Linked DNA regions of Drosophila melanogaster. The protein of the gene in region 2 interacts with the protein of the main gene of each other region in a pairwise test. Each region holds a gene or a part of one and is shown on either strand. Other genes may lie near its edges. The genes, in order: koi, Cpr73D, Nrt and Bace.

Region 1 (7,965 bases), on a different chromosome or scaffold from region 2:
GGATAAAGTTAGAAGATCAGTCTGATTCAGGACAAGATCATTTTTTTGACGCCGAGATTGGAATTTGAAATTTGTTTATAAACTGGGGTATAGTGCTACGTTTACGGGTTGGAAACTTGCATACGTAAGTAGAGTAGACTTAAAGGAACGATGATTGATTTCAGGGAAATAACTAAATACTAATAAATATTATAGTACTTATAGGGACTCTAGTCCTGACTTAAATAATATGCTATGTACAAGTTAACCTTAATGTGATTTAAACACTTCAAATCTACGATATGATACAAAACACTTACAATCTATATAGCCTTACTTTTTACATAGTTCGCATTGTTGAAAGCGGCTGGGCTCCGTTGATCCACATCTCGCAGTGATATATTGTTTAGTTTCCTTTTTAAGGCACAGACATTATGTACACCTGGCAGTACTTAGGTCACTAGAAGAGATTTGAACAGATTTATGTGGCCGGCGGCTTGCCGTGCACGCGAAACCGGTAGAGGCATGTATAGGTGGGATGGCCATGGTTCGTCTCGATCCGCAGTTCGACGATCTCGTACGGCCGTTTGATGTCCAGGTTTTGAACGGCAAAGTACTGGAGGGAAGCACCATTGTCCTCAAACTGGTAATCGCCGAACAATACGGGTTCCTGGTCCTTCTCCTGCTCCAAGCCCTGAGTTGATGGATAAGTCGTATTAGAAATGCACCACTTCCTTTCACCCTTAGTCAAACTTACCCAGACAGTGAAGTTGCGAGGAGCTGATTCTATTCTTCCTGTGGGGGATAGACTCTTCGGTATGTGCTCTAGGGTGAATCCAGTGACGTACACCAACGAGTTGAGCTTTAGCACTGTGGGAAGAAAACTATAAGGACTGTTTTAGCAATTACTATTTACCCGCGACTTGCCTAGAAATCCGGGAAACCCTTGGAATGCCCAGCATTCCCCTGGCTGCACATTGGGTGAAATGGCGACCCGCGGCGTGTTGGTGGGATACCAGAGTGGAATTCCAAACACCGATATCTGGGCTGACTTTGTCTGGTAGCTCTCAGTGCAACGCGTGGAAAGGATTTGGCCGCCCGCCGACTCCAGGGCGAAGTCCACCAGGCCCGTCTTGTCGGCATCGTAAATAGCTAGCACCGTCTTGACTATCTGGCGCACCTCCTCTTCGCGGATATGGCCCTTCAACGCTTTGGTGCTCTCGTTATGCTTGGCCTCCACAACCAGAAGAATCTCCCGTTTGAGTCGTTGGCTAATGTCGCTCATCAGCAGGATGCTCGAACGCTCAATCTCGTCGCGAATGTTGTTATTGGTGCGCTTGTTCAGCTCTAGCAGCTGCTGCTCCAGGTAGTCCTTGGCCACAAACATGCTGCGTACCCAGGTCTGCAGATCGAAGTCATCCAATTGGCCAGCGGAACCGCCAGCGGTGGATTGCTTAAAGCCCAGAATTTCGACAAGGGATAGCTTGATCTGCTTGTTGAGAAGAGCAAACTGCGAGTCGTTAAGCGCAGACAGTTTGTTTTCTATTTCAGCCAGCAACCCGTGGAAGCGCCTATCCTGGGAAAGTTCGTGCTGCTGTATGCGTTCCAGCAAATCCTCTTGGCCGAGCTTCAGATTGCTGATTGATTGGTGCAGATCGGCGTTCTCCGCTTGCTTGTCAGAGAGAGCCAACTTAATGAAGGCGATTTCCCTGTTCAGACGCTCAATTTGGACTTCTGCATCTGAGGAACCGGAACTCTCCTTTGGCTCGAGCTCTCCCACCCGAAGACTTATTCGAGCATCTACAAAGTCTGCCAATGCTGGCGCAGCAAGAATACGCTCCAGCAGGGATGCAAAGTCTATCCTGTCCAATTGAATGGTGTAGTGCGATTCGTGGAGGTGAACCTCTGCTTTAATTAGCTTGGTTATCTCCTCTAAGTTAGCTTGTGATAGTTTCGCTCCATCTTGCCAACCGCCTGAGCTTTGCAGCTCCAGTTTCAGTTTTATGGCCAGATCAGACAAATCCTTTTCGCTTAGCTCCGTTTTGTACATAATCTGCTTGAGGTTTTCCTTCATCAGCTTAACAAAGAGTTCAATCTGTTGCGGTGCGAGCTCCTTGGAATGCTGCTGCATTTTCAGCTCGACCAACTGCTGCACGTAGCTGTTTACATGGTTTAAGATATTTTCGTATTCCTCGGCAGTCAAGGCTTTCTGGATGTTCTGTTCAATGCTGGCCATGTTTACCTTAATGGCCTCGGCTTCCCGCTGGGGACTCCTGACGGTGGGCACTTCCATCCAACTTTTCAAGGTGGCTCCAGCATTTGAAAATCGACTACGTAGGGAGCCGAAAATAGATAGTGGCAGCGGCAACAGTGCTTCCGCACGCTGAACGTAAGCACTACGTTGATCCTCCTGCAAGAGCAACCATCCTGGGGAAGGAGAAAATTAAACATAGCACTATTAGTTGGCAATCCTTCTACATTTACAGTCCCTACCAACTTCAATTATCAACCGGACTGAGGTAACAGGGAACTCGTTTTTGGGGTTATTCCAACACAAATGCAGAAGGATAGAGTTCGATTCTGGCCAACTAATATTGCTTTGTTTACATCTTACTTACCATTTAGCGAACTTCCAACAAATGGCAAATAAAACAAACAACTCTTCTTTGTACTTGATGTTTCATATGAAATTGTTTGCGATTTATTTTTGTATAGACTATTACAAAGCAAACAGTGCACAAATTACAATTAAACGTTGTTTAACAACAAGTAAGATTTAGTTAGGGCACTAACCCAGACGGATAACGGCCCTAATTGTTGGACAAGAATGAAGTTAACGATTACGAAAGTTTTACAATTTGAACAGCGGCGAGCTCTATCCTTCTCCCATCAGCCTGTGATGTTGCATTTTGTTGGGAATTGTGTCGGTTAGTATGGTGGGGTATGAGAGGTGGGTTTGCCTATGAAGTGGGTAAATGACGGGACGAAAAACTATAAAGTAAGTGCGCAAAACTGCGGGTCAAGCAGACGGACAAAAAACGGATCAAATGCTTTATTTTGTACTCATATTGTTCATAAAGAAAGTTTCTCATATTTGTCTAAGTGCAAGGGGCGTTGCACCCAACCAGATCACTAAATCTGGTAGCTGTAGCCTGCCCATTGCAGATGTTCCCTACACACGCTCATAATAGACTTTATCATCGCCCTGAAATAACTGACGACCCTTGTTGACCACGTTCTGACCGATGGTTCTCAAGTACAAAACGTAGTCGTCGGCCCAATCGCGAACGCGGACCGCATGCTCGGCGGCCTGAGAGCGTAGCGATTCGAACTGCTCCTGGTTCAGGTAGTCTTTCACATCGATTTTGGGCAACTCAGGTAGGGTGAATGTGTATTCGGACAGGGATTTGGGTGGGAAAGTTTCATTGGGGTGTATGTAATAGAACAGACCTGCAAAGGCAAAGCAAATTAGGCGTTTAACCTTGGCAGACGGTGAATGGAAAATAAAATATGTCATCACATGGCCACTTAAATCTGATCCGCGGGATTTTACTAACAAATTATCGATGGCGTCACGCGACTGCCAACGACCAGACGAGTTTATAAATACAACGACTGGAGGTGATCTATATGCATGTAGTATGAATTCTCGAACCGGTACAAGGTCACGGCACACGCTCTAACATATTTTACTTTACATCAAAAATCGGACGGTGCTTTAAATCCTACTCACCCGACAGCAGCAGCAAGGGCAACAAAATCAGCAGAAATATGAGGAAGCGCTTTTTCGACTTGTTTTCCGCATCCGAGGATCGCAGCAACCACGTGTCCAAACTCAGCACCGATCCGATGAAAACATACAGGTAGCGCAGCAAACTTGCAAGTCCTCCTCCGATGGTCTGTACTATTTTCCACCAAAGTCCAACTTGTTGACTCTGCTGGCGCTTAGCGTGGTAGTTTTGATAGGCAGTCGTCTCCGTGGCCGAGAGATTGGTCACCCGACTCCACACGGTGGTAATGCTGCTAACAACCAGTTGGATGAGGCGGATAAGCCACCAGCTCTGCTTTTGCTGCCCAAATGTGGCGTCCAGTTCATCTGCGGAGTCATAGTTAACCTGCTGGGTATACTTGGACTGGTAGCGGCGGCGGATGAACTCCTCTTGCGCAGGGTTCTGCTGGACCATGTAGTTGACTCGATCGTTATGGTTCTCTAGGCTCTTTCTGGACATATTGGGCATGGCCACAATTCCTGGCGCCAACTGGCGTCGGTGAGGGGACAGTTCTGAGTAGGTATAGTCCGTCTTGGGAGTTTTGCTGCAAAATAGCATCATTAGTATACTGTTTAAAATGTGTAGAAATGATTCACTCACTTCCAGTATTCACCAGCATCCCTGTACTCGATGTAGGCCAGATAATCGCTGACATTTCCCGAGCTGAGGTTACCGTTCGATTGGTTTAGCTTTTCCTGGGCGGAATTCAGCGTGTTTTGTGTGGTCTCCAGCTGGCTTCTGTTCCGCGGTGTCGATGTGGCGCCGCCGGATCGCTTGGTGAGAATCGACGTGACTGTGGCCGTGATCGAGTTCTGTTTGCGTTTGGCATCCGGAGTCATGTCGTCGCTCGAATAGTCCGAGGTCAGCTGGGCGAACGCTTTTGCCCGGGTTTTCTTACTGATACTCGACTCCACTATATGCTCCTCTATTATCGTTCTGCAGAGAAGAGGTAAGATTTGGGAAAAATATTTCAGTAAGTCCGTGATAACGTGCTCGGAATCGTTTGAAACGACGAGTACAACGTATCAAAACAAAAACACAAAAATATGCTTATAACCGCCGCTGGCCTTCAGCGCAAACGACTGTTAGCCCACCCCAGCATGCTCGATTTAGAGGCTAAAACGTGAAAACGATTTCTGACGGCCGACGTTGGACTCCGAATGTCGTCATCGAGTCTTGAAGACTGATCATCAGACCGACCAGGCGCTCTCGAAATAGGCGCCAAAAACTAACGAAGCTCGACCAGATGCTGCACCCTGTATGCGGCTTTGCCTTCGTTTTCTACCCGCTTCGAAATTCAAATTCGCGGCGAGCGTGAATAACAAAAAGGTGACGTCATGGCGGCAGCACACGGCATACAAACATACAGTCGCTATGGATGTGTCTTACTACAGTCCAACTTGCTTACTGAAACCAATGGTCAGTATAGAAAAAGGTGACTCAGGACCAAATAGGAAATAATTATAGAGTTTAAACTGAATTCTCCTAATTCTCAAAATGAAATTGACTCGAACTCCGTAAACATATTGTATGCTTACAATTTTACTACTTATAAGGGCTAAAAATAATGTTATGGGTTCGCGATAAAGGGCTTCGTCCGTAGGCCTATTTCGGGAGTATCCCAGATACTTACTGCACATTGGGGGCCGCCGATTTCCTTTTGAGGTGGTGCACATGCCCCTCCTCTCCGGCGTGCTCACAGTTCTCATGGTCGCAGCTCGATCTCAGGAAGGGGGTCTTGGAACGCGACCGCCGACGCGTTTCTATCTGGTATGTATTTTCGCTCATGATTAGATTCCCTCCAGTGCTCGGGCCCTGCGAAGACACAAATAATTAACATGGGCAACGATTTATTTGGAGTAAACATTAAAACCAGTCTGTGTGTGTGTGCGTGTGCGTGTGTGTGCGTGCTAGGCGTGGGTTGTTTACAATTGGGCAGCTGGAAAACATTCGGTCTCTTCACTTCAATGCTCGAGTGCTTTCCGAAGCGAGCTTTCCCCGCCACATTAATGCCGCATTATGCAATGCAATGCGTGTGGAAATGAGCGCAGTGCCCGGTTTTTAATTAGAATGCATTGGGGAGGTAGGTAAGTAGGCAGGCCGCAAAGACCGCGTCTAAAAATAGGGCGGAGCATTTCGGATCGCGAATTGCTGCCAGTGACCGTGGGGATCCATTGGTGTTGGGCCACATAGCCGAAAACGACGCCCGCCCGGCCTTTCGCGCACAGATATCGGACTCCAGGGAGCGGGGTAGGGATGTAGACGCTACAGGGTGCTCCGGCGGACCACGCCATCCACAAACAACGCGCGATAATCAATACAATGGCTTACTGCCCAAAATGAGTTCGCAGCACAGGCGCAAATATTCGTTGATTCCGTGATTCGGTGAAATGGAAACCCAAACAAGTTTTCCACAGCTGCGTCATAGCGTACATATATGTACATATGTATGTACGTGAATGTAAAAATGAGGCACGCACGCACACAAACAAAAACTCCGCACAGTGCTTTCGGCAGTTTGCCCGCAAATATGTGACATACTTAGTAATATTTCTTGTACTGCCGTACTAATGAATTCCTCCGTTGAATAGCTGGATATGAATTTTGTTTGCAAGCGCCGCGACCGTTTTAAAAATAGCCTCCACCGTCACGACGGCAAAATCACGTCTATTCCGAGCGGCGAAAAAATTCGAATGAACGGGGAAGACACATCGATTATTCTAGCAATCATCGATGTTTCGCCGCCTATCGATTGTTCACATGGATTATTAAAGGGAACGTTGAGAAACGGAATTTGTTTTCATTAACCAAGAGAAATAATGGGTCAAGAATAAAAAATTTAATTTTTACACTTTTATCTTTTGTTCAACAAAGAAAAATAATTTGAATGAGGTGTGCAAATATGCAAACATACATTATTTTTCTATTAACGCCGAAACATTCGACTTCTGGCTTGATAACTAAGAAGAAGACTGAAATTTAAATATAAATTTGTTAACAAATATTATCGTTTTACAAGGATGTGATAGATTTGCGTCATGACAAGCAATTGAGCTTTCTAAGTATACTTTCAGACTTCTGATATCTTTAACTTCGACTTTCTATATGATTGTTATTTAAACATATTTAAAATTAAATAAAATATCGATAGCATTGCGGACAATTAGCGATCCCTCAAACCACTCGGTATTCGGTAAAGGGTATTTGACAACCCTAAGCAATAATACCACAACAAATCAAGAATTTATTGTTGTGATTTGTCTAGCAAAGCCATAAAATATGATAGAAATAACGTGTAACGATCGTCTTGGCAAGAAGGTAAGCAGCTAAGTACCCAAGGCAACTGCAAGCATCGTTAACCAACGATTAACCCACAGGTGCGCGTCAAGTGCAACCCGGACGACACGATTGGGGACCTCAAGAAACTAATCGCGGCACAAACGGGCACAAAGCACGAGAAGATTGTCCTGAAGAAGTGGTACACAATCTTCAAGGACCCGATTCGCCTATCTGACTGTAAGCCCTTGTTTAGTGTCCTTGTAACGCCTTGCTTTACCCGCATTTCTTTTTCGCTTTCTTAGATGAAATTCACGATGGCATGAATCTGGAACTTTACTACCAATAAAACTGCAAGGGAATACCGTTCCTGTGTCTAGTTTGTCCAATTTTTATAGCTTCTTTAATAAATAAAAAGATTTTGAATAATATATATTATTCGTTTTGGTTATGTTCTGATTCTTAAGGTCAATTTGTAATAGTGAAGATATATATTTTTGAGTAAGCTGTATTAAGCCCTTGGTTATCGGACTTCCCTTGACAATAACAAAATACATAGTTAGATTGATGAATTACAATTACAATTAATATTGTAATTTGCGTTTAATGCGCCCCTACGACTACGCCCCTGTAAAATTGGTATTATTTACAGCGTATGTTGCGGCGTTGCCAGATCGCATCAAAGGCTTCCAGAGAAAGAACAACAAATATTGAAAACAGCGCATTCAAGATTCCGTCGAAAATGTCAATGATTCCATTCTTTCCCACGCTCAAAGTCTCCGTGGCCAATCGCTACTGGTTGGACATGGCTCCTGCCTCCGTAAACGAAGAATCGCAGACGCGGCGTTATGAGGATGAAAGGAGCAACTGGGTGAGTTCTCTCCAGACACCGCTTTCTGTATAAATTGTTATAAACTTAAACCGTACAGCGAGAGTCCCT
Region 2 (6,592 bases):
TCCAGTAAATAACGCAAAACACCCAAGTAGAACGAGCAATAGTTTTGGCTAATATATTTTATTTACGTGTAGCCACGATATTTATGCAACTCTTGCAGGCTAGTCAAGGCATTTGTTTGGATTCCGTTTCCGATTTCGATTTCCGAGTGCGGTTCAGCGGCGGTGGTGGCCTTGGCCAAATTGCCACCCATGACCACGAATCCGATGCCGGCGCCCGCCTTGTAGCTCAGCTCATGGTAGCCAGCCTCATCGTAGTAGGAGTACTTGCCCAAAACATTTCCCGCCTCATCGGTGTGCTGGGCATGCGACATCTGGTCGGTGCTGAAATCAAAGTTTTGCTGGCTTTGCCGGTGCTTCAGGTGGTTGGTCGATGCTAATTGGTAGCCCGCACTCAGCGAAGATGTTGCCACTGCTAGGTTATCCTGTGTATTGTAGGAAATCCGGGAAAGTGGATTCTGTCTTGTCCTCAGAGATTGATGCACAAAGTTCAGCGGACCAAAGGAATCCAGAGAAGATGCCCCAAAACTAGGCTTAACGACACTCCTATCCAATCTATCGCCATCCGTGTTGTAGGAGTATCCTTGTCCATTGAACTGCATATACACTTGCGCTCCTTGAGCACAGGAAACTATCAGCGAAGCAATGAAAAGCACCAACATCATGTTCAAGTCTCAGAAACAACTAAACTCCGAGCATGCTAAGTCATGGGGTTATATGTGGATTCAAGGAAACCGCAATGTGCAGATTAACCTGCTTATACCCGGATCCACGGATATCAAATAACTATTCGCTAGAGATACAGATACAGTTTGAGATACAGATACAGGCAAAAAATGTATTCCGCTTTAAATACTGTTTTAGTTTCCATGTGGAGTCAACCCAGTTTCGGTTACTCAACACTGATCACTTAGAGCTACGCACTACAAACTACAGATCTACAGATCCAATGGGTGCTTAGTGCTCCCTTGAGGCATTCAGCTCGGCGATCTCATCCTGACGCAGTGCCTCCGACGGCGAAAGTCCGATCCTTCCGCCCAAGGGTATTATGTCGATGTTCTGGACATGGGCACGCACACTTTGACCAGGCGGCAGGCCCACGTACCATTTACCCACGTTCTTGATGACGGTGGAGTCGCGGTGTCGCTGCACCCACTCCCGATCCCTGTCGATCTCTAGAATTCGGTGGTTGGCGGTGACCAGAGGAGGCAGTGAACTGCCCACATCGTCATCGTTGAGGTGGTAATTGTCCCCGGGTCCGCTCATGGCACTGGTGCCCGATCCACCTGTGGGCGGCAGGTAGCCCAGGCCGGAGTCGCCTTCCCTGGAGGCTCCAGCTCCACCTCCTCGACGACTGCTTCCACCACCGGCAGCACCTCCCCTTCCTGCTCCCCGCTCAGAGGAGACACTTACTCCACCAACGCCGCCGAATCGGTTTCTGTTTCGGGACCCACTAACATTGTTTCTCGTGGAGCTACCTGAACCACCTCTCTGAGAGCTGTCACCTCCGGCATCGTATCTAGTACTGCCCCGTTGCGGACTACCCGCAGGGAACCCTCTTCTGTCTTCTTTGCCATTAAAGTTGGTGGAACCAGAGGAGCTGCTGCCAAGCCCAATGTCATCCCCTTGGTCATCAGCATGGTGTCCCAGATTTTCATCAGCTGCCCCAGCATCACCATCTCCACGATTCCTATCTCTTGCTCCATCAGCCGGCTTTAGGTAATCTTTGCCTCCGGGTCTGCTTGGAGTACGGCCCCTTCCCGCTCCACCTGCACCACCACTTGGCCCCGAAGCTCCTACCGAAACACTTCCCCCACCTGATCCACCACCACCTCCCTTCGGACCTAAGCCACCACCAGCACCCCTGCCAAAATCATTAGCCAGTCGGAAATCTGGATCTGTCAAACGAAAATCAGCCACAGAGGGATTGTTATGGGTTCCAGGACCAATCCGATTTTGCACCACCCGGTAGCCAATTCCTGCTCCAGCTATATACTCCACTGTCCGCTGCACGCCCTTGTCGTCCAGGAAGGAGTAGGTTCCTCGCACCAGGCCATCGGGTGCTCGACTTTCTGCCCGTCGGTGATCCGAACCTGAGGCGATCAGCTTATAGCTTCCAGCCGGCCCCCTTTGCACAGACATCTTGCCGCGTGCTTTGGGATGGGACGTGTACAGAGGACTGGAGTACGCCACAACAGATGGGCTGTCCGGCACAGCGTTGGAGATCTCGAATCCGGTTCCGGCTCCAGCTGCATAACGAACACTGTGCCGCTCGCCCACGTCGTCCAAATAGGAGTACAGACCTGGGATAGAATCAGTTAATATACTCTTAAGTACCATACTCGCTAAACTCGCCTCTTATCCTATTCCCGGAATCATTCTCCTCGCTGCGCGACTGATCCGGAGTGCGAAAACTAAAGCTGTAGGATGGATCGTCGAAGGGATCGGCCAGCGGATCGTCCGGACTTCCCCGCGGCAGTACCGGATACTGAGCCAGGTCCATTTTCCGATGGATTTTCGGTCCGTTCACGCGAAATCTATGTGGGAAATAGAGGGAGATTAATTAGCTACCGACACAATGAGTGGGGATTGGGTAAACCCTTTCAGCGGAAGCGGACTTGCACTGCAATTTTGAATATAGATTCGATCTTAGCCCGGCACGCCATTACTTCGATTACTACACATCTCGGGGAACGATCCCATTCAGAATCATCGCTATCGTTGAGCATCTGCCATCTACAATCCATTCCTCTTTTTTTTTTGGCTCGAATCTCTCAGGCCAGTCAATTTGTTAACAGCTTTTTGTTTCCCCCGATTTACCGGAGATTGCAAAAAACAACAGTAGCGCCGAAGCGGTAATGGAAAAACGTTTAGGCAACGCCAGAAAAAGCAGTCCAATGTGTTAGAACGGCTCCAACTCCATGGATCCCCCTCCGTTTGTTTGGGTTTCGCTTCAGTGGCCGCCGCCTGCCGCCAACCGCTGATATATGAGCTCAACTCTGACATCGAGGGGAGATAACTCACTTTGTGCTGCCACTTCCTCAGCGGCCAATACACTCAGGAAAAAACCGCCGACCTTCCTCAAGGAAGTTACCTTCGAGTCATGTATACCCACAGAACTTATCGTTGCCTAATTATTTTTAAAAACATTTGAAATACATATATTTTAAAAATTATGTTTTTCTTTTACGCATATTTTGACATCATCAATTTTAAATGCATTTTTCTCCACACATATGCACTCTAAAATGATACTATTTTCTTGCAGTGCACCAGCGCACTTTACCCACTAGTCTTGGCTACCGTCTTCGATTACTCACCCACGTGGTCCGGCTGTGTAGACCGTCTCCTCGATCTGCCCGCTCGCCGGACTCCGCGAACCGTAGCGACCTCGCACCGTGTTGTCCGGAGTGCCCGAGGCGCTGTGATAGTAGCCGCCAATGTCATCATTTGCATGTCTTTTGGCCGATTGGAAGCAGTAGCAGTAGCAGTACCAGCAGCAGCATATCCATTATCCATGCCAGGTGGGATCCATCGAAACAGAAGTAATTGCGTTGCCCCATGCGTGCGAAATGGAGAGGGAAAGATGGTCGGAAGCGTGTTATTGTTGTGGTTGCAAAACGTTGAGGCGTTAAAGAGGTGCTAAAAATCTCAAATTTTCTCGGGTGTAATGGTGATGGTAAGGTAGCAGACATCATTGACCGATTAGATGATTTGTTAGATTTATGACCCATGGCTGCTAAAAAACTGTAATTGAGTTGTTCTCTTTTCAAAAGGTTTATTATTCTACCAAACAGCTAAGTTTGTACGCAATTGGGGAAGGTTATTTCTTATTTTCAGCGACTAACTACTTTTAATCCTTTTTTTAAAAGGAAATTGGACGACAATGAAAGTTCTATTCTATTTAATGTAAATTATGTTATTTGGTTAAGTTTTTTTATTGTGATGACTAATGCAATGAGTTGAAAATTGAAAAATATTAATTTCAATGTTATCTGAATTAATTTTATTGTGAAGTTTTAAAATCCTATTAAAAATCTTAGTCGATGTAGGTATTATGATAATCGTATTACGAAGGAAATTACTAATTTCTGTCAAAATATCCTGCCTTTTAAAGCATTTTTAGGTAAATTGAAAATTTTACTAAATTCAAAATTTTGCAATTGTAACAAAAACTATTCATCAAATTTCTTGAGTCACAGGGTGTTGCATTTGCAATTAAATGCATATCCATTTAATCCATAATGCCAATTTTTTTTTCAGTGCTTAATATCCTTTAAAAATGTTCACTATAGTTTGTCACACATCTATGTACCGAAACTGAAAAGATCCATCCTCGCTGATGGTATTGTACTCGATTTCGGCTCTCGCAGGATCCGAAAAGTATCCTAAAACTGCGCAGAGAAGCAAAAGGGAATTCGCGTGCCGATGCAGATGCCACATCATTCAAATCGCATTCGTTTTAATCCAATCGAGAGATGAAACAAGTATCAAACGGGCATCCTGTTCCAGGTGCACAGTCACCACATAAACTTATATTCCCCCAACAAATCCGATTCGATTCGATCGTCTGCCAATCCGATCTTGGAACCCGTCTTAAACTCCGACTTGGTTTGCGATCTTCGAGAGGAGCTAGCGGCTAGAACAACGCGACGGCGACGACTGATGCGATCCAGCGTTAGACCTTCGTATTTAAATACGATTCTCAGGCGGCTCAGCGAGCGGTTCGTGCGGCGTCATATGGTGGTGCTAGTGGAGCTAGTGGTGCTGCTTGTCTCACCTGACCACCCACCAAAAAGAGCCAAAGCCACGAAGATGAAACAGCAGCATTTGTGTGCAAATTGCGTTACAAGAAAAGGCGGAAAGTGGGCGCGGGGCTCAGGTGAGAGAATTCGTTCTAATGATGGACACGCAAGTGTTGTTGCAGCTGCTGCTGTGTTTCTCCTATTTTATGGCTCCTTGTTCGCCACTTTAGGAGGGTGGGGGAAGGGGCTTAAAACCCGCGGGAAATGGCCAGCGGAAAATGGAAAATCGTGCCTGTGTAGCTGTCTGTCAATTAGCTCACGTTGTTCTTGTTCCCCGAAGTTGCAACCTGGAGCTCTCTTCCTGTTGACAATGCACCATCCCCCCGCCCCGCTCTCTTTAGCTTACAAATCGCAAAACTCTGAACATTGAACTTCATCGCTGGGGAATCAATTTTCCATTTTGAGTTTTCCGTTAGCCGGAGCTTATTACAAGTTCGATCCAGAGCGAGTCTAGGTCAGTGTCTTAGCAGCAATTTTTGGCCAGGTATGCAATTAAAGGCAATTACCCGTCGGCTGGAGGAGACCACAGAACTTTATGACAATTTCCGCCTAGGATCTTGGCTCTTGAATCTTGGCCATTATAATGAGCCATAATTAGCGTGGCGACGCTACTGGCCACTTCCAAGTACAGTTATTGGCCATTGTTCTGGGTTCTAGATGGGGATGTGCTGGGGATATGTCAGGCCCTCTGATTAGACCGCCCCGCTTGGTTGCCTTTGATTCTGGTTATAGTTTATAGTTCTGGCTAGCCCATATTTACATCCACATAGACTACCGCCTTTGATAATCTTTATAGCCGTTGTTTTTTGGCCATATGCAAATTGGTCAGAAGGCGGAAGAGTTCACCAATTGGTTAATTGTGCGCTCAATCGGAGCGAGTGCTTTCCGAGCATAAGCGCTTTGTAATCGCACAACCGCAGAGACAATGGAACGAAACCCAATGCGATCGCGATCGGAGAGCCATGGAGATATGGTATAGCAATGATATATGGCCGCTGCCAATGACCATGTTCATAGGCATGTGGTCGAGCTTTAAGGACAAGTTTCTAACGGACTGCACGCATGGGAAATGTGCAACCAGTTGTGGCAGTCGCAGTTGCACTTGGAGTATTGCTGTTTGCCATTGAACCACATACCCAAAGAGCAAAACTAAAATGAGAAAAAAAAAGTATAGCTAAACTGGAAATTCATAAGTGGCCTGTGTGGGCCATCCTGCCAAGTTGGCTTGGAAAAGTGAAAATGCTTTCGATTTCATCGCGTCCATTTCTTCGGGGGACATTCATTTGACAGCGGCCCAGGCGTTCGGATCGGCGTGGAGACTCCAATTAATCGCAACCATGAGGATTACACAACTTTTATGCATCTCGTGCATGGTTATCACATCGATCGACGCTGTGGAATATCTAATTCGCTTCGAGACGAAAAAGGCCAAGTGCTTGAATCCACCCAGAACGGCCAGGAAAGTCGAGTCGGTCATAAGGGAGTGCCAGGATGAGGTCCGCAACAAGTTGGTTAATGGTGGGCCTTCAAATTAGTTAAGCCATATTAAATACTATACGGTTTTGGTCCCCATTTAGAGGCCTATGAGATACTCAAGGAGCAGGTGTCACAAAATCAGCCACCCATCGATCCGAACGATGACTCCATCGACTTCATTTGGCCTTCTGTGCCCGAGGCACCTTCCCTTGATCATTCCCCCAACATCAGCCAGTACGAGTACATAGTCTACGATGAACCCGAACCACAGCGCCACGTGGCCAGATTGATGAGGAATATCCGACGTTTGGATG
Region 3 (5,140 bases), 170 kb from region 2:
ATTTGTCATCCGGACGCCATGCTAATGGACTTCTGGTGGGGATTGGGTCTCCTCCTCCTCCTTCTCCTGCTTTATAACATGGCCTCTGGTCATTTTAAAATTAACTTTAAATATTCTGATCTAACGATTTATCATGCCGTGTTGTGGATTTTTGTTCAAGTTGCTTAATTTCATGGCAATTTATTGAAGTTGGCCAAGTGGGAGAATGGAAAATGATGAGCCACATATTCGCCAGGCAATCAAAAGAAGGGTGATTAATGATCAAAGCTGACACGTGTTCAAAGAACAATGCGGAAGGGGTCGGAAAGATGAAGGGGGAGTGAAGTTCACTGGAGCATGAGAAACACTTAGAAAAAATAAAGAAGAAACATAGGTAAGATAGATCGCAAGTTGCAACAAATGTTGAAAACCTTTAAAAATATACAAACTTGTTTGTTAAGAACTACTTGAGGACATACTATAATAATTCATAAGAAATATAAGACTGAATTTATTTCCAGTACAAAAGGGGCAGAAACCAGAAACCGCAAGACTCAAAGGTTTATACACGTGCGATGCGAATTCACAGTCGTCTCCCCTCATTTTATTTTGATGGATAACAATCTCCTGGGGCAGGTAGAGAGCGGAAACTGGTAAAGGGGCACAGAGTCCCACAAACCTCAAAGGATCAGCGGAAGGCGCCTAGTTCCAGGACAAGGGGATTGGCACAACAAAAATGGAATAAATGGAGTTTGGAGTGGGAAGAGCAAACAAAATCGGAACGAGATTTCCACTTCAAACAGGCCATTTTTATGAATTTGTAATTACTCTCGAGGGGCAAACAACTCTTGAAGATATGGGATAGGATAGCCCTGAGTTGCGTTGGTTGGTTCAATGTTTGTGCATACCGCGTACTCTTGGATTTGATGAGGTAGACACATCTTATATCTTATATTCAAGAATATTTGTTGGAGAATGTTATAACATTAACTGAGTGCATTGAACCACGAAGTTCCTGGTGCATTTAACCAATATTATGTATGCAATTAGTTGTTTCTTAAATGGAAGTACTGGGTATCTGTTAAGTCTGCATACACTGCCTTCCTCACAACTCATGGCTGTCCTTCCACTATATCATTCCATTTTATTGCACAATATTTTCTAGCACCACGTTGCCTTTTTCAGGCAGATAAGCGAAGATTTCCTCCGCGATAAGAACCCTGAGAATTCCTTGAAGCCAGGCTCCTTGCAGGGCCATTGGAATTGTCAACAACAAATATTTATGATTTGCGCTGGGGTTTCTTGTAACCCTCATTAGTCAATTGTCAGCAGCTCTTGAGGGGATTCGAGTTTTGGGATCGTATCGCAGCACTTGACTCTCAAGTTCTTATTGCTGATGGATTTACAATTTCCTAAATGAAAACTCCATTTTTGTTTAAACTGTTTGACCATGAACTCCAGATGTAAATAGCCGAGTTTTGTTTATCATTGAGAGCGAGAAAAAGTGTTGAAAATCGTGCTTTGTATTCTTGTTGCATTTGCCTTGTTGTGTTTTTCCTTAATTGTTGTTTACTTTTCGAGTGGAAAGCAGGCAACACTTACATAGGAACAACAATTTAAAATTGAATTGTAAAGACGAAAACTTTTGATTACACACATTTTGGGGTAAATTGGGAAAATGAGATACTGAGGCACACACATCAACATCATCATGTCGGCTCTTGTCTTTTGAAAACTTGGCAAAACAATGAGGGAAGTTGGAGCGAAAAGTCAATGGGCGGGGGAGTTGCCTCCATAAATCTCTTTCCGAATGCAAATGTTGCGTCAGCGTGGCATCTTCACGTTTTCCTACCCCATTTGTTGTGCCTCTGTTTGGCTTTGTTGATGCTTTTCTCACTTTTTAGTTGCTCGATTCCCCGGAAGTCTTTTTTTCTTTTTCTGGAGCGAATCGAAGAGCAGCAGCTGCCAACTCGAACTTTCTCTGAAGATCCCGGGAATTCGTGATCATTTCCATGCGCCTATTAATTCATCATTGAATTATTGCCCTTTTTCCCGGTATCCGTATCCCTTCAACAATTTCCTTTGCATTTGTTTACGGAATGACTATTTGGGGATTTATTCAAGCCGGCGTCTGACTGTGCATACAAATGATACCAAAGGGGTCGCGCTATTTTTGGGGCAACTCCATCCACCAAACTCTGGATGTTGATGGATTGAAATATCTGAGGATTAACACACATTATGTTTATGAAATGTTCAAAAGGATTTGTCAGGGCCGTGATTTATGTCAAATGGTTATGTTTTTCATACGGAGCCGCGACACAAGCCATTAGAAAGGATGGAAAATGGGAATTATTGAGGGAAAGAGTCCGTCTGATCATTGACACGAGCCATTAGACCTCAAGACGCGTAAGATGATGATGACGATGGGGTGGGTGTGCTTCGTTACGGAGGGATTATATCAATGAATCGTGAAGCCCCATTAATCTTATTAAGAGCTCGGAATGAAATGTTTTTCGAGACGCCATTTAAATTGTTTTGGTAAGATGTTTCCTCGGTAATTATGGATTGTGGAGGATTATAAATTAATTTAGAGCCGTCAAGATCGGATACCGACATATTTTAAAAGTTTTCAAATTAAGCTCTTATATCTTTTATCTTCTACTTTTCACAAATAACTCAGATTTCAATTGCTACGGCATTAGCGTTTTTCAATAAACTTTTTGGCCAAAATCTTTACATTTGTATAAAACTAAATAAATATGCATGTAAATTGTTTTATTCAATTATAATCACATTTTAATCTTTCAAGTTTGAAGTGTCCATATTCACTTGTTAAATTATTAAAGTTGGCAGACAAATTTGACTTCATTTACAATTCATCGATTTGTTTTCAACTGCTCTTCCTCTTCTACAAATCCCCGAGGTCCTTCACACGAATTTGTAATCTTACCTTTTTCAATTCTCGCAAACACTGTGTAAAATGTGTGTTGCTTTTTTCGAACTTGTTGAAATGTGGCAATTGGGAATAATCCGTTGGTCCTTGAAAACAGCGGGTGGCGTAAATGAACCCGATGTCCTTCCTGCAGGACACTTAGGTGTGTATAACAAACGCACAGATTTTTTGATTTGTTGCGGTTTTTTCTTTTCTCCGCTCCTTCGGCACAGAGCAAAACAAAATGCACAAAAGTAGTTGCGGTGTTTTTGTTAGATTTGTGTAAATATATTTCTTGCACTTAATACAACATACGATGCACAATAGGAATATAAAAAGTTATTCCTTGTTTGCGCCGAATTTGATTTTGTTTTCTTTTGGTCGCGTCTGTGCGGCGAGAGTGTGTGTGTGTGTGCGATGCGAAAGCGAGCACAACCGGAGCGAGGGAAAACGCGTGCGGCTTCCAAAACAGAACAAAACTGACTGACGCCGTTTCGATGTCATGCAATTCATGCGGCTTCGAAACGGTTAACAGAGTCTTAACAGCAACTGTTAATGTTAATTTTCTTGGATTTGTTTTTATTCGGGGAACTGGAAGTGGAACGTGTTTTCGGCGAGAACATGTTTCTCTCTTGAAAAAAAGAAAAAACATAATTTAAGATATAACTTGTAAGTTTATAATAGTATACAAATTATGTCAAGCAACAGTGATTAGCATTGAAAACACCTACACAACGAATTGTTGTAATATTTTATAAGTAATTTAATTAAACTTATTAGACATGATCATAATTCATGTTTATGATTTAGTTCGAACTGGACCACTGTGCACTGGAACTGGAAGCAGCCGGCATTGTAAATTTATAAATCATAGGGGTGGCTGGAAAGCAGCAGTAAAAGTAGCGGCTTTGTTTTCCTGTACAGTAAGTGCAAAATGTTCGATGGTGATTTTATGAAAAAGGTATTGTAGTTTTGGTAAAGCGTTTATTGTTAGTGAAACAAGACACCTCAGATATTATGATCAGATCAGATACTTTATAGAACATGTAGGAGAACATAGGGTAAAATTGTTATAAATTGTTCAAGTCAACACCCAAAACCCAAAGTAGAGGTATTACGTAGTCTACAGCTCTTTATAAATATAAAACTTAAAGTTATTAAAAATTTCTGAGTTGTACATGCTTCAAATAGAAGTAGATGCCGATCTCCCTATATTTCTTTGTTATTAATTTTTCTTAAAAAGAGAGGGAAGCTGGCAAGGGGAAGGGAAAGAAGTTTGTTGATATGGCACTTTTGTTTGAGTAAAGGTTTTGATTTCGGTTTTTGAAACTCGTTTTCAAATGCTTATCAACTGGCGGCAAGTGTTGAAGCGCAGTTTATGCCGATGGGAACATCTGGCATATGTAGGGAAATTCCACGTCCTGATGCGTCATTACAGCACAAACCCTTACCCTTGGCTACCTCCAACCCAACACCCCTTTTCGCATAGGGTTTCATATCCCTACCCCTGAGAAAATTCACTTATTTGGTAAGAAAGACAAAATATAATGATTCTTTCAATCAACTTTTGCGCAATGAAAACTATAAAGAAGATTTTAATGCATTTATTTTGAGCGATACGCAAATCAACAGAATGATTCATCCACAGTTATGAGAAAAACATACGTTGTTGCAGTTTATTTAATAAAGGGCACTCCCCCAGTATTATACTTTCAATTACTATATAGTATGTGCTCTATTTTATAAAAATGTTACGCTTATGATTTATGAGTAATCAACTAATGTAGGAGATATGTCTTCAGACAATTAGGCTACCCATTTAACTAAAGTGTTTGGTAAATATTTTTCAATATTTCAATATTTTCATTGTATACCTATGTATGTACATAGTTTAATATTTATATTGAACTTGTGTCGGTTGAATTATTAGAACAGAAGCCATGACGACACGTGCTAGAAATGTATTAGAAGTCGATTCCCCTGTTCTTCCAAAGGTATTACCCCACGGAATTCCTACCCACATGTCAACAACTTTCACGCCCCGAACTATGAGGGTTCCCTATTTCATTGTGGAGCTACTGAAGCATTTCATTAGACATGATGTTAGGCGACATCTGCTACCGAAAAAAAGGAATAAATATGGTAGGAAACTAGAAAATAAAAGTGAAGGTTGGCTCGAGTTACATACGTATTTGAGTTTGACGCATGCCCGTCACGTCGAAGGGG
Region 4 (4,204 bases), on a different chromosome or scaffold from region 2:
AGTCATTTTACATATTTTTGAGGCCATAAACTTCGTGCGCTTTTCCAGTGCTTTCATAAACTATTTGAAAAGCCAAGCGGTTTAGTGTTCTAAGGTCAACATCAATTAGAAGTCGATGGCGAGGTGAGTTGAGTTTCCACCCACAACGGAAGTCGAGTGGCGTCCAGGTTTTTCCATTAAGTGATTCATTAACTGCTCAACGAAGCAGTCCCAATCTGGGCTACCCTTCCTGTTTTCTCCCCCCCTTCCTGCTTCACTCATTTGGGTTGGAAACTAGCTAGCAGGGCCAATATAACCTGTTGTCCACGAGTTGTCCCGAGTTTCACAAGACCTCCACTTTTTGCATTGCTCAACTGCACTTCCACTTCCTGTCATCGCACACGGATGCCCCTGCATCCTTCGGCCGCTACTCCTAAATGGGTGTTGTCACTGTTGTGTTTGCAGTTGCAAAACTATAGACCCGCACAATTCTCTGACATCACTGGCTATCCTTTGACACCCCGGCAGTATACCTGACATCTGTGGCATTCCCCCGGGCTACCAGAGTCCCCACTTGACACCCGGTGACACACATCATTGCCCGGCCAACAGGCTGGACAAATGAATTGGCTCCCGGAGCTGATGGCTTCTGTCATTGCCTTCATAACACCATCTCCTTTGGGTCCGGAGTCAACATTTATCCCACAGCCAGCTGGGAATTTGCGGACTACCGGATAACACATTTGGATAACCACTTCAGTCTCCTTAAGTGTCAATAAATAAATAAATGGAGTGGTATTTCTACGTAAACGATAGCTTAAATTATATATACTTTATACATTCTCGAACAATTTACAGAAAGTCCAATGTGTAATTCATTTATTATATGAAATGCAGATAAGCATAAATAGCCATGACTGTAAAACGCAATTGGAGTCGCTTACTCACAACCTATCCACTTACAAAGTTGTAAACAGATTAGATTGTTACACCTTCAGCCTTCGAAAGGTGACCCACTTGAGGTGACCCAGACATTTGGTAGAAAATTCTAAGAGCTCGTTTCTTTATTGATTCGTAATTGCGGATCGTTAATTAGGCGACTGGGGCGAAGCCAATGCGGTTGTTGCCCAAATCGAACTCGGTGTAGTACTGGCCAATGAAGACATCGCCCAGAATCCAGAAGTCGGTGCCCATGTACTCGAAGGCGGACATACAGTTGCCGTCCGACTGGATGATGTAGGCCGAGGGCTTCAGGACGAAGTTGGTGCCACCGATGTTGAAGGTGACATCGGGCAGGGAGCTGACGCTTGAGCAGTCCAGATAGCCATCCTCACCCACGTTCAGGATCTCGGAGAGGGTAATGTAAGCATTGTAGGGAGCCACGATCAGGGAGGTGCCGGTATCGGCAATAGCCTGGCAATCATCACACAGCGAGTAACCGTCAATGGAGGATCCAGCCATGGTGAACTGCCAGTAGCCCTGCTCCGAGATGGGAACGTAGGTCAGAGCGCCAGAGTACAGAGAGGCATCGGAGCCACCGAAGATGAGTTCACCACCCATAGTGGAGGTGCCATCGCGGGCCAGATAGAACGAGAAGACGGAGTTGTCGACCAGACCCTGGGACACCATGTTGTAGAACGGAGGAGCCACACCATCCACGGCCAGGGACTCATAGGCCATACCGAGAATGCCATCGAAGTTGGCATCGTTGAAGTTGGTGCCCGGCTCGTTGGTGGATTCAGCAAAGGTCTGGCTCTGGATGCTCAGGCCATTGACGTCGACGGTATCGGTGGACAGGTAGCCAGTTAGGCTGCCAGTGCCATACTGGATGGAGAAGGATTCGCCGTTGGCCACGTAGGTGGAGCTGGCGCTGGAGTCGTACTGGTTGTGGGTCAGGCAGGCATCGCTCTTGCAGGTGTTCGATGGCACCCACAGGTTCGAGGAGCCTGAGTCGAACAGAACCTTGAAGCTCTGAGCGGGAGTTCCGATGGAGATGGCTCCGTAGTAAGCCATATTCATCGAGTTGGACAGCTGTTCCTCATCCACGCTGCGAAGCGAGGGCAGCTGGTACTTGGTGCGCAGATAGGATTTCTCGGCCAAAACATTCTGACGCGTCTTCACAAAGTTCTGCTCCTTGAGGATCGGCACGCGATGGAGCTCGGCACTGGCCAGGGCTGCCAGGAGCACTACTACAGCGATGGTCTTGAACATTCTCTTGGTTTCTAGTCTACTCGAGTTCGACTAACTGACGATCGGTGTAGCGGGTCTAATTTATAGCACTTGCCATCAATCACAGCCCAAATTGTCCGGTGATAAGATTTGTTGACCACTCCAGTCTTAAGCAGTATGAGTTCTTAATGCTCGTCCGGCATTCGATATTTATAATCTGGCATATTATCATTTCAGGTGTGAGGTGATATTTCGATCTTTTCGATAGCGTTCTCAAGAAGTGAATCCTAAATTCCAATACGCAGCTGGACTTTGTTATGATTGGACATTTTGAGTGACTTTGATAGTGCTTACATTACGCGATAATAATAAGTGACTCTTCATGGTAATTTGTTTTAATATCATTGCATGATTAAGCTCACAGATAAGCCAATAAATTAGAGATAGCGATAAGTGTGTTAGGGTTTTAGGGTAAAACCATGCATTTGGGAAATTCACCAGGCATATTGGGCAAAACCCCTGCTTAGCAAAAAGCCAAATCATTTAGTAACTAAGGATGATGATATAATTGCTCGAGCATTAACTCACATTACCAGAATGAATTTGTTTTCAATTGGTTAATTTAAGGAAACGTGGGAATTTGATCGTTTTCAGCCAAGAGGAAACGCATTCACCTCGGCTTAAATTCCCTTCCAATCAAGTGGTTACACTCGAGCACTTTCACCAGCTATTTGCTCGGTCATATAAAAATATAAATTTCGTTTTAGCAGATAAAAAAGCAAATGCAGGTCCGGCGGCAGTCATCTTCTTGCCATGGCTCCTACTACCATTAAGCTTAAGACCCTATTGAAATCAGATTTAAAATCAAATAAAATGCCACTTCAATTGGCCAAGAAGGACAAAGGAGATTCATGGTTTCGATTGCGTTTTATTGCCAGCGCAGGGACTGTTTGCACATGTGGGATGGTGGGATGTTGAGCAGTAATGTGAGGATTTCTGGGTGGTGATTCTGTGTGGTGGTCAGCCACAGGTTAATTGTGGTCCAGAGCATCCGCTCTTATCGCCGAGGGCTAGTAACACACGAACAGACAAGGGGCCAAAATGGAGGTGTCCACGGGCGAGTGCGTTGCGCACTTTCGACCCAAAATAAAGTAATCAACGGATTTTACGCACCGTCGGGCAATTTCGGTAACCATACTGGTAACTGGGCACACGGGGCGTATGATTACCGAGCGACGTGGGCCGCCTGCTTTTTGTTTCTCGCATTCCTGCGTTGACATTTCATGTGCAATTATTAGGCTGCTCAAATAGCGCCCATGCCCAGTCCCCTTCAACCGTTTATCAATCATTTTTTGATTTATGGCCCAACGCGAGTGGATTGAACTGGAGTTGATTGTAGTCGGCAAATACATAAATAAAGTATACGCCCGGGGTGGCTGACCAACTAACCGAACAACTCACCGAATTGTGTGCGCTTGTATGAATTTCGATTTATTTTTATTTGCTGTGCGTGGACATGGCTTAAAGGCTTAGACCGAGATGCAAATAATATTTAACCAAAAATAATCAGCAAACATTCACAATTGGTAAATATATTTCATACAGCACAGAGGCAGAGCCAGAAAACAAATAAATTGCTATTATGGATAGTATCCGGTTCGGTCAGTGAGCATTTGCCTCCGAGTAATCAATAGGTGGGCGATTCGTTCAGGCAGGAGCACCCACTACTCATCCTTCTTCTACTCCACATCGAATTCTTTCCGCCGATTGCATTTTCACAGCTTGCTCGATCTCCGATGCACCCACTCGTGGTTTATGAGCCTCGGAGTCAGTCAAGTGCCAGGCGATTAATCGAGCAAGATATTGATGTTTCAAATCAACACTAGCCAGCGAACTTTGGCCTATAAGCACATTAAATATAACCCGACTGCGATGACAGATAAATTAAACAAGTGAAAATAGTTCAGTTAATGTTTTCAGTTAAATGAATTGTCGGGGAAAAGAACATTTGCTAGGGCTCATAAATGGAATACTAATTCTGATTGCTTATTTTCTT

What was found.
Region 1: the proteins of Cpr73D (region 2) and koi interact in a two-hybrid assay, tested with the Drosophila melanogaster proteins (one large-scale study listed by BioGRID).
Region 3: the proteins of Cpr73D (region 2) and Nrt interact in a two-hybrid assay, tested with the Drosophila melanogaster proteins (one large-scale study listed by BioGRID).
Region 4: the proteins of Cpr73D (region 2) and Bace interact in a two-hybrid assay, tested with the Drosophila melanogaster proteins (one large-scale study listed by BioGRID).

Annotation. Positions count from the first base shown.
Region 1 is NT_033778.4:6,809,501-6,817,465, reverse strand, and holds the start of koi (klaroid), read right to left. Parts: upstream 6,448-7,965; 5' UTR 6,291-6,447; intron 5,679-6,290; exon of another isoform or gene 5,565-5,678; 5' UTR 5,538-5,564; coding exon 5,383-5,537; intron 4,935-5,382; exon of another isoform or gene 4,772-4,934; intron 4,686-4,771; coding exon 4,350-4,685; intron 4,294-4,349; coding exon 3,713-4,293; intron 3,430-3,712; coding exon of another isoform or gene 3,152-3,429; exon of another isoform or gene 2,654-3,151; intron 2,407-2,653; coding exon 907-2,406; intron 850-906; coding exon 737-849; intron 674-736; coding exon 461-673; 3' UTR 1-460. Other genes in the region: ubl (ubiquitin like), read left to right, coding at 7,029-7,067, 7,127-7,265, 7,331-7,374; CG15237 (uncharacterized protein), read left to right, coding at 7,768-7,896, 7,955-7,965. UniProt on the Drosophila melanogaster protein: Component of the LINC (LInker of Nucleoskeleton and Cytoskeleton) complex involved in the connection between the nuclear lamina and the cytoskeleton. Is required to nuclear migration in eye and to anchor klar in the nuclear membrane.
Region 2 is NT_037436.4:16,938,284-16,944,875, forward strand, and holds Cpr73D (cuticular protein 73D), read right to left. Parts: upstream 4,667-6,592; 5' UTR 4,441-4,666; coding exon 4,313-4,440; intron 3,456-4,312; coding exon 3,318-3,455; intron 2,535-3,317; coding exon 2,353-2,534; intron 2,301-2,352; coding exon 955-2,300; 3' UTR 817-954; downstream 1-816. Other genes in the region: CG13022 (uncharacterized protein), read right to left, coding at 63-659; Obp73a (Odorant-binding protein 73a), read left to right, coding at 6,140-6,320, 6,380-6,592.
Region 3 is NT_037436.4:16,764,333-16,769,472, reverse strand, and holds the start of Nrt (neurotactin), read right to left. Parts: upstream 3,402-5,140; 5' UTR 2,933-3,401; intron 1-2,932. UniProt on the Drosophila melanogaster protein: May mediate or modulate cell adhesion between embryonic cells during development.
Region 4 is NT_033779.5:8,494,079-8,498,282, forward strand, and holds Bace (beta-site APP-cleaving enzyme), read right to left. Parts: upstream 2,230-4,204; 5' UTR 2,191-2,229; coding exon 1,072-2,190; 3' UTR 815-1,071; downstream 1-814.